Linked DNA regions of Macaca mulatta. The protein of the gene in region 2 binds, or shares a complex with, the protein of the main gene of each other region. Links are inferred from orthologs where the notes say so. Each region holds a gene or a part of one and is shown on either strand. Other genes may lie near its edges.

Evidence for each region. Proteins that work in one complex are often made in the same cells at the same time.
Region 1: ITPR1 (region 2) and CNN1 share a complex: the UniProt entries of both Homo sapiens proteins name them as parts of the cGMP kinase signaling complex. The link is inferred for Macaca mulatta from reciprocal best matches to the Homo sapiens genes ITPR1 and CNN1.
Region 3: ITPR1 (region 2) and PRKG1 share a complex: the UniProt entries of both Homo sapiens proteins name them as parts of the cGMP kinase signaling complex. The link is inferred for Macaca mulatta from reciprocal best matches to the Homo sapiens genes ITPR1 and PRKG1.

Annotation. Positions count from the first base shown.
Region 1 is NC_133424.1:12,262,000-12,266,220, reverse strand, and holds the start of CNN1 (calponin-1), read right to left. Parts: upstream 2,801-4,221; 5' UTR 2,533-2,800; exon of another isoform or gene 2,524-2,532; intron 1-2,523. UniProt on the Homo sapiens protein: Thin filament-associated protein that is implicated in the regulation and modulation of smooth muscle contraction. It is capable of binding to actin, calmodulin and tropomyosin. The interaction of calponin with actin inhibits the actomyosin Mg-ATPase activity.
Region 2 is NC_133407.1:143,424,374-143,427,873, reverse strand, and holds part of ITPR1 (inositol 1,4,5-trisphosphate-gated calcium channel ITPR1), read right to left. Parts: intron 1,731-3,500; coding exon 1,569-1,730; intron 1,493-1,568; coding exon 1,322-1,492; intron 839-1,321; coding exon 773-838; intron 52-772; coding exon 1-51. UniProt on the Homo sapiens protein: Inositol 1,4,5-trisphosphate-gated calcium channel that, upon inositol 1,4,5-trisphosphate binding, mediates calcium release from the endoplasmic reticulum (ER).
Region 3 is NC_133414.1:98,704,092-98,708,178, forward strand, and holds the start of PRKG1 (cGMP-dependent protein kinase 1), read right to left. Parts: upstream 2,801-4,087; 5' UTR 2,697-2,800; coding exon 2,386-2,696; intron 1-2,385. UniProt on the Homo sapiens protein: Serine/threonine protein kinase that acts as a key mediator of the nitric oxide (NO)/cGMP signaling pathway. GMP binding activates PRKG1, which phosphorylates serines and threonines on many cellular proteins.

The DNA.
Region 1 (4,221 bases), on a different chromosome or scaffold from region 2:
CAGTGAACCTAGATCACGCCACTGCACTCCAACCGGGGCGACAGAGCAAGACCATCTGGAAAAAAAAAAAGCAGATTCCAATTCAATAGGTCTGGGATAGGGCCAATAATTTGTTTTTTTTGTTTTGTTTTGTTTTTTAGCAGGTGAGTTGGTACACATTCAGTGGATTCTGACTTTCTTTTTTTTTTTTTTTTTTTTTTGAGATGGAGTCTCGCTCTGTCGCCCAGCCCAGGCTAGAGTGCAGTGGCGCGATCTCGGCTCACTGCAAGCTCCGCCTCCCGGGTTCACGCCATTCTCCTGCCTCAGCCTCCCGAGTAGCTGGGACTACAGGCGCCCACAACCGCGCCCGGCTAATTTTTTGTATTTTTAGTAGAGACGGGGTTTCACCATGGTCTCGATCTCCTGACCTTGTGATCCGCCCGCCTCGGCCTCCCAAAGTGCTGGGATTACAGGCGTGAGCCACCGCGCCCGGCGGCCAGGCCGGTTTCAAACTTCTGACCTCAAGTGATCCATCTGTCTTGGCCTCCCAGAGTGCTGGGATTACAGGTGTGAGCTGCTGCACCCGGTTTAATGTTTCTTTTTTAATTTTTTAAATTTATTGATTTTCACACATTTTCCCTCTTTACTAGCAGTCAGTATATCATATGAATATAGACATAAAATTCCTCAACAAAATACTAGCAGATAAAATCCAACAGCATGGAAAAAGAATTACACACCATGACCTAGTGGAGTTTATACCAGAAATGCAAGGTTAGTTTAATATGTGAACATCAATTAATATACTACATTAGAATTAGAATAAAGGATAAAAACCACATGATTATCTCAATACAAGCGGAAAAACATTGACAAAATCCGATATACTTTTTTTTTTTGAGGCAGAGTCTCCCTCTGTTGTGCAGGCTGAGGTTCAGTGGCACGATCTCAGCTCACTGCAACCTCCGCCTCCTGGGTTCAAATGATTCTCCTCGCCCAGCCTCCCAAGTAGCTGGAACTACAGGCATGTACCAACCACCATGCTCTGCTAATTGTTGGATTTTTAGTAAACATGAGGTTTTGCCATGTTGGCCAGGCTGGTCTCAACTCCTGACCTCAAGTAATCCGCCTGCCTCAGCCTCCCAAAGTGCTGGGAAATCCAATCTACTTTCTGATGAGAATACTCATCAAACTAGAAATGTGAAGGAACTTCCTCAGCCTGAGAAAGGGCATCATAAAAAACCCACAGCTCCAGCACTTTGGGAATTTGAGGTGGGCAGATCACGAGGTCAAGAGGTCGAGACCAGCCTAGCCAACATAGTGAAACCCCGTGTCTACAAAAATACCAAAAAAAAAAAAAAAAAAAAAAAAAAATTGGCATGGTGGTGGGTGTCTGTAATCCTAGCTACTCCGGAGGCTGAGAATCACTTGAACCTGGGAGGCTGAGGTTGCAGTGAGCCGAGATTGTGCACCACTGCATACCAGCCTGGGCGACAGTGCAAGACTCCGTCTCAAAAACAAACAACCCACAGCTGATATCATACTTAATGTTGAAATACTAGATGCTTTTCCCTCTTAAGATGAGGAACAAGGCCGGGCGTAGTAGCTCACACCTGTAATCCCAGCACTTTGGGAGGCCAAAGTGGGTGGATCACCTGAGGTCAGGAGTTTGACACCAGCTTGGCCAACATGGTGAAACCCTGTCTCTACTGAAAATACAGAAAATTAGCTTAGCGTGGTGGTGGGTACCTGTAATCCCAGCTACTCAGGAGGCTGAGGCAAGAGAATTGCTTGAACCGGGGAGATGGAGGTTGCAGTGAGCCAGGGTCATGCCATTGCACCCCAGCCTGGGCAACAAGAGTGAGGCTGCGTCTTAATTAAAAAAAAAAAAAAAGATGAACGAGACAGGAATGTCCATTCACCATGTCTGTCCAGGATTTTCCTGGAGGTTCCAGAAGGGGCACTTAAGTAAGAAAAAGAAATTAAAGGCCCCAGATGTGGTGGCTATTGCCTGTAATCCCAGCATTTTGGGAGGCTGAAGCAGAAGGATTGCTTGAGGTCAGGAGTTCAATACCAGCCTGGGCAACACAGCGAGACTCTGTGTCTACAAAAAGTTTTAAAATTAGCCAAGCGTTGGCTGGGTGCAGTGGCTCATGCCTGTAATCCCAGCACTTTGGGAGGCTGAGGCGGGCGGATCGCGAGGTCAGGAGATTGAGACCATCCTGGCCAACACAATGAAACCCTGTCTCTACTAAAAATACAAAAAATTAGCTGGGTGCGGTGGTGGCCGCCTGTAGTCCCAGCTACTCAGGAGGCTGAGGCAGAATGGCATGAACCTGGGAGGTGGGGTTGCAGTGAGCTGAGATCACACCACTGCACTCCAGCCTGGGTGACAGAGCGAGACTCCATCTCAAAAAAAAAAAAAAAAAATTAGCCAGGCATGGTGACATGCACCTGTAGTCTCAGCTACTTGGGAAGGTGAGGTGGGAGGATCGCTTGAGCCCAGGAGGTCAAGGCTACAGTGAGCCATGATCATGCCAATGCGCTTGATACAGGGTAACTGTGTCTCTAAAAAATGTGTAAAAAGAAAACAATAAAATAAAAACAAAAGGCATCCAGATTGAAAAGGAAAAGATAAAACTGTCTCAACTTGGACATGACATGATCTGGTATATAGAAAATCCCAAGTAATCTAATAAAAAACTATTAGAACTAATAAACAAGTTCAGCAAGTTATAGGACACATGATTGACATATAAAAATATATTTCTATACACTAGCCATAAATAATGCAAAAATGAAATTAAGAAAAATAATTCCATACCGGGCATGGTGACCCATGCCTGTAATCCCAGCACTTTAAGAGGCTGAGGTGGGAGGATTGCTTGACCCAGAAGTTTAAAACCAGCCTGGACAGCACAGTGATACCCCACCTTTACAAAAAATTTAAAACTTAGGTGGGCATGGTAGCATATGCCTGTAGTCGCAGCTACTTGGGAGGCTGAGGTAGGAGGATCACTTGAGCTCAGTAGTTTTGGGCTGCAGTGAGCTGTGATTGTATCACTGCACTCCAGCCTGGGTGACAGAGTAAGACCCCATCTCTAAAAAACAATAAAAGAGGCCGGGCGCAGTGGCTCAAGCCTGTAATCCCAGCACTTTGGGAGGCCGAGACGGGCGGATCACGAGGTCAGGAGATCGAGACCATCCTGGCTAACACGGTGAAACCCCGTCTCTATTAAAAAATACAAAAAAAAACTAGCCGGGCGAGGTGGCGGGCGCCTGTAGTTCCAGCTACTCGGGAGGCTGAGGCAGGAGAATGGCGTAAACCCGGGAGGCGGAGCTTGCATGAGCTGAGATCCGGCCACTGCACTCCAGCCTGGGCGACAGAGCGAGACTCCATCTCAAAAAAAAAAAAAAAAAAAGAAGAATCAAACAAGTAGATATCCCATGTTCATGGATCAGAAGACAGCAGTAATTCTCAAATTGATCTACAGATTCAACACCATCCCTGTTTGGATCCCAGCTGGCTTTTTTGCAGAAATTAACAGCTGATTCTAAAATTCATATGAAATTGTGGGGAAGTGAGAACAGCCAAAACAATTTTGAAAAAAAAAAAAAAAAGAACAAAGTTGGAAGACTCGCACCTCCTGATTTCAAAACTTACCACAAAGCTATAGTTATCAAAAACAATGTGGTAGGCAGGGCATGGTGGGTCACGCCTGTAATCCCAGCATTTTGGGAGGCCAAGGTGGACTGATCCCTTGAGTCCAGGAGTTCAAGACCAGCCTGGCCAACATGGCGAAACCCCGTCTCCACTAAAAATACAAAAATGAGCCGGGTGTGGTGGTGGGCGCCTGTAATTCCAGCTACTTGGGAGGCTGAGGCAGGAAAACCACTTGAACCTGGGTGACAGAGGTTGCAGTGAGCCAAGCTTGCACCACTGCACTCCAGTCTGGGCGATACTCCCTCTCAAAAACAAAAACAAAACAATGTGATAGTGGCATAAGTGTCGACATGTGGATCAATAGAATAGAATTGTAAACCCAGAAATAAACCTTTATATTTATGGTCAATTGGTTTTTAGCAAGGGTGTCAAGACAATAAAATAGGGAAAGAATAGTCTTTAACAAATTCAACTGTATGTCCACATTATGCGATCCCCTTCCACACAGCACACAACATAATTAATTCAAAGTGGATCATAGACCTGAATGTCAAAATGTAAAACTCAACAAAACAAAA
Region 2 (3,500 bases):
TCTCACCGAGGCACTCTCCTGAACACAGAGTTTGCTGAGCCGAATCAAAATCTAGTAGAAAGAAAGAAATCAGTCTCAGAAAACTAGGAACTACAGCTGGAAAACAGATTGCAGGGGGTGGTGGTGGGCAGGTAGGCAAAGGGAATAATGCATTAAAAACCTACAACGAAATTCCTTCAGTATGTGGCATTTCTGTTAATTCCATCAAGCCAAATCCATAAGGCTAAGGGCACGTCTTCCAGAATAAGCAGGGGATAATGGCTTCAACAACAAGTGGGACAGTTTCAGAGATATCACTTAAAATGGAATGACCTGGCATCATTGCTGAGACCCTGGGAAGAGTTTGCTCTGGGGTAAAACACACAAAGCTCCCAGCCTCCCAACTTTGAACCAGCTTAAGCAAAGGTTTCCAAAGAACTACAGCTCTCAGTGGGGATGCTGTGTGCCAGGCACTTAGATGACCCCTGACAGTTTTCTCAATTAGTCCTTCCTTCAATTGTAAAGCTTCAGAAATATGTGGTGCCTATAAAAGGTAGCACCTATAAACAGTGAGGAAGCTGAGGACACAAATAAGAAGAAGAACACAGCTGGGTGTGGAGCCCAGATCTGATGCCGAAATCCATGAGCTTAACCTCTGAGCTCTACTTTCTCCCTGTTAAACCACACGAAGAAAAAAGCTCAAATGTGTGTACCTTCAACTTGACTATCACAAATGAAAGCCCCTTAGAGAATTCATAAAGAAGGGAAATACGGTGGTGGGGGAGGAGCTTACCTCTTTGACCACTCTGTAGTTGTAGCTGCTGGTGCTTTCATGCTTTTGTGACTTGTTATTTCCCTCCTAGGAACCAAAGTGAACACAAGTGTGATCTGTACGACTCATGGGCTACTGTCAGTTTGTTACAGCTAGCATCAATCTTTATGAAAGAAAGGGAGTTCTGCACTGTTTTCCAATAGTCATGCTGGGTTTATGCCCCACTCATCTACCTACTTGCTATGGGTTTCCTTGGGAGGGGATAGTGGGCTGGGCCACGGCTAGAGAACAGGTCAATTCCCAAGTGGGTCTGTAAGGGAAACCTGGTGCTAATTCACTCAACGTCAAAGTCTCTTCTACACAGTCTGAGGCTGCACAGGAGACATAGCTAAACTCTGATTCATAGCTTATTTCCTAGGCCAACAGCTGTGATCTTAGCGACTTAACAAGCAGATCTCTTGAAAATAAATCCCATTCTATCACATTTATACCTAAAACCAGAGGAGGATGCTTGCTAGTTTTGAGAAGCCCATCCACCTACTTTGGCAGCCTAACCTGTGTTTCACTCACCTCCGTTTTCTTATGTCCATTTTCGCCAGATGCACCATCCATGGTTTCATCGGGGCCCTGCCCTTTGTACACCCAAAGCTCTGACTTTTCCACGATGGACCTCAGTTGATCCAAGTCTTGTTTGATCTGTTTGTAGTTGTCCACATCTTGGCTGGTAACCAGCAGTTGAACCTTAATGAATGCAATCCATTAGGTGCACACAACAGCTTCTTGGACAGACAACACACACGTGGGTGACCTGAGCTACCTGTTTGAAGGCCTGGAGCACCTCCTGCCTCTGGCTGAAGTGTCGGAAGAGGAGCTGCAGGGCCCCTGACACCAGGGGTGGATAGTCATGCATCGTCAGGTGGAGCAAGACACGGAGAAAGGTTCTGCCGCCGTGATCGTCCAAGTCCAGTGGGGTGTTCTCCTCGCTAAAGGAGCACAGGGAGGGGGAAAGACCAGATGAATCACAAATGCCTCCTCTCACGTACCTTGGACCCAGATGCCCCTAACCTGGTTAGATTTCTAGCACTATGATCTCCAGACAAGCAATTTCACTTTTCATTAGCTCCTTTAACAATACCGCCTTGCTTCATCTTCAACTATATTGTGAGGTGAGGAGACAAGTAAGATGTCATCATAAAAGATAAGTCAAATTTTAAGCCAAAGTCCCTCCCCTCCCAAAGTGACAAGACTAGCATCAGAACCAGATTCTCAACATCTACATAGGGTGTTCTGCTGGGCTTCATCTGTGGTGTGAGAACTGCAAGAGGATGTGTTTCTCTTATTAGTTTATGTAATTTTATTTTTAGAGATGAGGTCTCGCTATGTTGCCCAGGCGAAATTCAAACTCCTATGCTCAAACCATCCTCCTGCCTTAGCATGCTGAGCAGTTGGGTCTGTAGGTATGCACCACCATGCTTGACTATATTAAATATTAATAAGCATATCCTAGATCCAATGGCAGAGTACTCCATAACTGAGCACTGCCAGTCAATTACTGGGTCTGCATCTACATTGGGTTTAGAGGCAAATGAATGACAAATGGTGGAATCTTCATGGTTGCTGGCTAATAAGAAAAGCACAGAGAGGACTTTATAAATACTGTATTCATGCTGTGTATTCCAAAAAGGTGTGAAGGTTTCAGTGCTGTTTAATATGAGGAAAATGGCGGGAGAGCTGAGTGATCACACAGCACATGGAACCTGTATTAAGATAAACTCACAACACCTTGTTTAAATTTCAGATAAACATCTTCCATCACAGTATACAACGTTGCTAATTCAAATTTCACAGGTTTTACATTAAGCTTGAAGGTAGACTATTAACACTGGTGGGCCCCAACAAAGTATTCAAACCCTTATGTAGTCCCCTCCCACACTGACACTGAACTTGGCCACGGGATTTGCTTGAACAATAAGATACTAGGAAATGCAATGCAAGCAGAGGCCCAATTAGCACTTGCATACTGTTGGCTTGTCCTCTTAGAACATTTGCTCTTTGAGTCAGCCACCATGCTGTAAAGAAGCCCAAGTTATCCACATGGACAGAGAGAGAAAGAAGTCCTGGCCTTGCAGGCATTTCTGCTATAGTGTCAGAAATGTGAGTGCAACTTGGATGTGCCAGCCCCAGTTACCACCTCACTACAGTGTGACAGACCCAACAGTGACTACCAGCAGAAGAACCATCCAGTTTAATCAAGCCACAGGGCCGTGAGAGGTATTAATAAAATGGTGGTTGTTTGAATCCTTAAGTTTTTTGGAGTAATATGTTATAAAGCAATAATCAAACCAAGTGTGCTAATTATAAGAACTACATGCACAGGGTGTTTATACCAAATTTTATACCTGTAGGTATAAGGGTTCCATAATTATAATAATGTCTTAAGTCAAAATTGACCAGTGTGGTATTTTTTAAAGGGATTCATAGATTAATATTAGAAATCATGAAAGAACAACAGATTTTGCTTTTTTTGTTGCATAGCCTGTAAGGAGCTCAGGGATAAAATTACAGCCCAACAGCAGGACATGATCTTACTAACTTCACTCTGTTTTGAGCCCCTCTCTCTTTCTATTCTTTCTTTTGATTGCATTTCCTCACTATGTAAAAATAATCTTGTAATGTAGGTATTCTGGGAAATCTCCTTAAATCCTTTCTGTCCTAGGTGGGACACACACACACACACACACACACACAC
Region 3 (4,087 bases), on a different chromosome or scaffold from region 2:
GCTACGTTTAAGATGTAGTAAAGATGAAATATAAAGACACAAACACTTGTTGCCAGTAAGTCTGTGTAATCAAATTATTCATAGTGAAATACACTGAAATGCAAACAAGTCTTCTTTGGTTTGGCAGGTTTTCTTAACTCTTTGTGGAGCTACCTTGTACAACCATTCAAATAACATAAGATTTATTCATTTTGAATACAATGTACTTCTATTTTCCCTAAGAAAGGTACACTTTCTACTACTCAAGCCAATTTTTTTCTAGTTTTCTTTATGTAAGTGTGAAAAAAGAACAGATGTTTTTCCAAAATTATTTAAGCTTGGAAGGCATTCTATCATTTTCCTCAATAAAATACTTCAGAGTCACCCAAAGCATCATGGCAATATCTTAAGAGCTGAGTCCTTTAAAATACAAGTTATTAGTAAGAAATCAGTGTCAGGACACACAGCATTGTTTGATAGATAAAATTTGTAATATAATGGGACGCTGTAAATCATTTGCCACACCAGCTTTATTTTCCACTCTGGACCTTTTCTGTTTGTTAGTTTTTCAATCTAGTTATTCTACAAGCCATGTACAAAGAGGCTTTTAAACTTATCACATTGTATAGCTCATTCCCTACTGCCTAGAATCTTGTAAATCTCTGATGGAATGTTTAACTGGAGTTATCAGCTGGCTTGAACATGCTTCACTATGAAACCTATTAAAATGGTCTTTTTGTAAAAGCAGAGTTTGCTCTGTGTCACTCAAAAGTCCTGCAGATACGAAAATGAGATCCTATGGAATGTTTAAAGATGCAGAGAGCTGTCTTTGAGTTATTTTTTCATTATGCAAAACTTGGCCCAGGAGAGATGGTCCTGTACCTCGTTAGCTAAAACAGTCAGGCGTGTCAGGACTGCAAATTAATTTACCAGAGAAAGCTGAAGTTTATTCAGATCACTCAGGGTTCTAAGGCAGACCTAAGTCTGCTGAACTATTAGGGCAATTTGGTGAGGTCGGAATCTCAGAAATGTTTATCCTTATTGTCTCTTTCCACCTCCCTCGCAGAATACAAACTCCTCCCTAAACTAAGCCTGCATGAACAGCAAATGTTCCATGGGAATCAACATGTATAGGTATAACTCTAAGTTTTCAAAAGTAATAATTGGTACACACTGTGATTCCCCCCAAAAATATCCAATAAATACAAGTAGAGATAATCGAGTATCTACTTTCTCCTTATATTAACTTGTTGTGTTTATGAAGTGGAGGGTTTCGATGGACCTTGTATTATTATGTAACACGTGCCATCCAGCCAATGTGATGTCGTTAGTAGTAGAGTAAGCAGTAACATCCTTGGTTTTATCAATTATGTTATTATCTATTAATTTAAAATGCCGTTCTTTTGGGCGCTCTCCCACATTCTCTGTTAACCTCATGTTCCTGTAGCTTTACTCTCTATACTAACTCTGAGTTAAGTGTTGTATAACAAGTTTCATTAAATTTTTTCCATCCAAGTTATGAAGCCCACTAACATCAGGATTGCACAGTTCTCTCAAAGGCTAGAACAATGCCACAGTGGTTGCATTAGAAGCCAAGAGTAAGGCAAACAATGGGTCCCCGTTTTAAGCAAGATAAGTGTGCTTATCTGTATCTAACCCTGGAAACAAGCAACCACGTCTTGGGAGATGGAGATGCTCCATTAGTAACATTATGCACGTTCCTTAAGGAAAACAAGCAATCTTCTGCCTCATATGTTATGAAAAAATATTTCTTCAAAATCAACAGACTAGTTTTCCATTTATGGATTGTAAATGTCATCCAATTCAGGAAATCAAAAATTCTTCCTTTTTCTATGTGTATTTGCTTATGTTTCACACTTTGATGATGACAAGAACGTCAGGTTTGAAGGGTACCAGCGTGAAGCGCCAGCAGGTAGAGAAATCCGGGAGAGCCACAAAAGCATAGAAAGTATGGGTGATATCAGACGCATTTCATTTCAAGTCTGATGAGCCTGCATTTAGGATTTTCCAGCTGGGCTGGTTTGCCAGGGTTTTTGGGAGACAGGGGGGCTTTTTATTTCTTCTCTCACACTCACACACACGGTCGGACACACACCTGGGACGCATTCAAACTCTACGTACACTAGGTGGCTTATACGAATGTACATGTATATTTAAAAATAATACCTTGACATCTGACAAAGACACGAAGGCAACGTATGTGCAGTGAGTCTGGCTCTGAGAAACGTGCACAGCCCCGCAAGAAGTGCCCGTTAAAATGAAACATTTCTGAGGATGAGGACAGACATGGCAAGCGGGAGGGGCGGGGGCCGACAGACAATACAGAGACCCGAAGCTCCCCACCGCCAGGGCGCCACATGGACCCGGCGCGTCACCCCTGCTTACTGTGGGCTCTTGGGGTAGAAGGGCAGGGTCACATGGCTGAGATCCTGGATGTCGAAGGCGGTGGGCTCGGCGGAGATCGCCTGCCGCTTGGTGCGCGGCTCGCCCTGCAAGGTGCTCGCGCTCTGCTTCTGCGCCTGCTGGGTGGCTGGTCGGATCACCGAGCGGTACTTGTCCAGCTCGTTCTGCAGCTTCTGGATCAGTTCGTCCTTCTGATCCAACTCCAGCTCCAGCTCGTCGATGAGAGCATCCCGCTGCCTCAGCTCCTCGATCTTCTCCTGGAGCGCGTACTGTAAATCCCGCAAGGTGCCCATGCTCCTCCGGGCTGCCGGGGGCTCCTTCCTGCCGCTGCTCCGCGTAGTGGGGCTTCCTCCCCTCTCGGATCAACTTTCCCCAAAGTCGCCGCTGCCTCCCGAGTGCCAAAGCTTCCTACTTGAGACCAAAGCCAGCCCTGGCTTCTGAGCATGCCCAGTCCGCCGGCTTCAGCCACCCAGAGTTTCAGTGCAGATTCCACTTCTCTGGGCTGGCTGTGAGGCTCAGAGTGGGGAGAGCAAACCAGCAGGTCCAACCCGGGATTAAACCTGAGACGCGGTGGGCGCCGCGGCACCGGGTAGAAGAGCCGGGAGGCGCGGTGGCGGGGGAGCGGGAGGAGGGGACGTGAATGGGGGCTCCGAGGCAGCGGCTGGGCTCTCAGGGTCCCTCGCGCCGGGCGCCCAAGGAAGCTTGCGGGGCTTGCGGGGAGCCTGATAAGCCTCCGAGGCGCGCCGGGGGTGTGCGGGCGGAGCGAGGAGGGAGCTCTACTTCGGGGGTGGGGAGGTGGGAGGGAGGGGACAGGGAGGACCCCGGGCAAACTCCGGAGGCCTCAGCTGACTCCAGAGCCGACCAGCCTGGAGAATGTTGGGCTACGATCCTAGCGACGTACGAGGCATAGGGGACTCTGTATCATCAAAGCTCTGAGTTCTGGAGGTATTTTGACGGCCGGCCTCACTAAGGAAAGCTCCCGAGCGGTGTGGCCGAGCTGTCGCTTCTCCCACACCACCTTTCCCACCCGGAGCGCCTCACACAGGTGGCTAATGCTTGCGAAGAAACTTGCCTTTCAGGAGCTGCGAGCGAGTCGGCGCCCGCGAGGAATTTCCCCTTTCAGCCTACTACCTTTGGGAAAGCGTTGTGGGGTAGGGGGTGGGGGTTCTGATTTTATCCCCTCGAGGCGTTGCTACTCTTTACCTGCTCCAGATAGTTACTCTCCTTTCTGCCCCTTCCAAACTCTGATCAGGGAACTCTTTTAAGGCAAAGGCCAAAAACGGATTTGGGCCCTAGCAGGCCATTCAGCTTCCCCATGAGCCCTCCGCCTTGAGCTGGTGCCTGGGAATAGTTCTCTGATGGACCTTGCTTCTTCCATTGGCTAAATTTGGCGGGGAGAGGGTGGGGGTTAAAAATCATTCCCGAGCTCCAAAAAGTTCATCTTGAAACTGAACCATACCTTTAAAAATATTACTTTCCTCACAATCAAGCTGTTAGGAATGTGTATTTCCACTTGAATGGCCAGGAAGACATCCTGACACAAACTTTGAAGAAGAGGGAAAATCGTGAAGGAGCAAGGGAGACTACGCGGGCTGCAGTGAATTGTACACTATACTGCAGTCACCCCCACCTCTACGCACTCCCATCTCCATCCCTGCCCACTCAATATTCCCCAAAATGATCA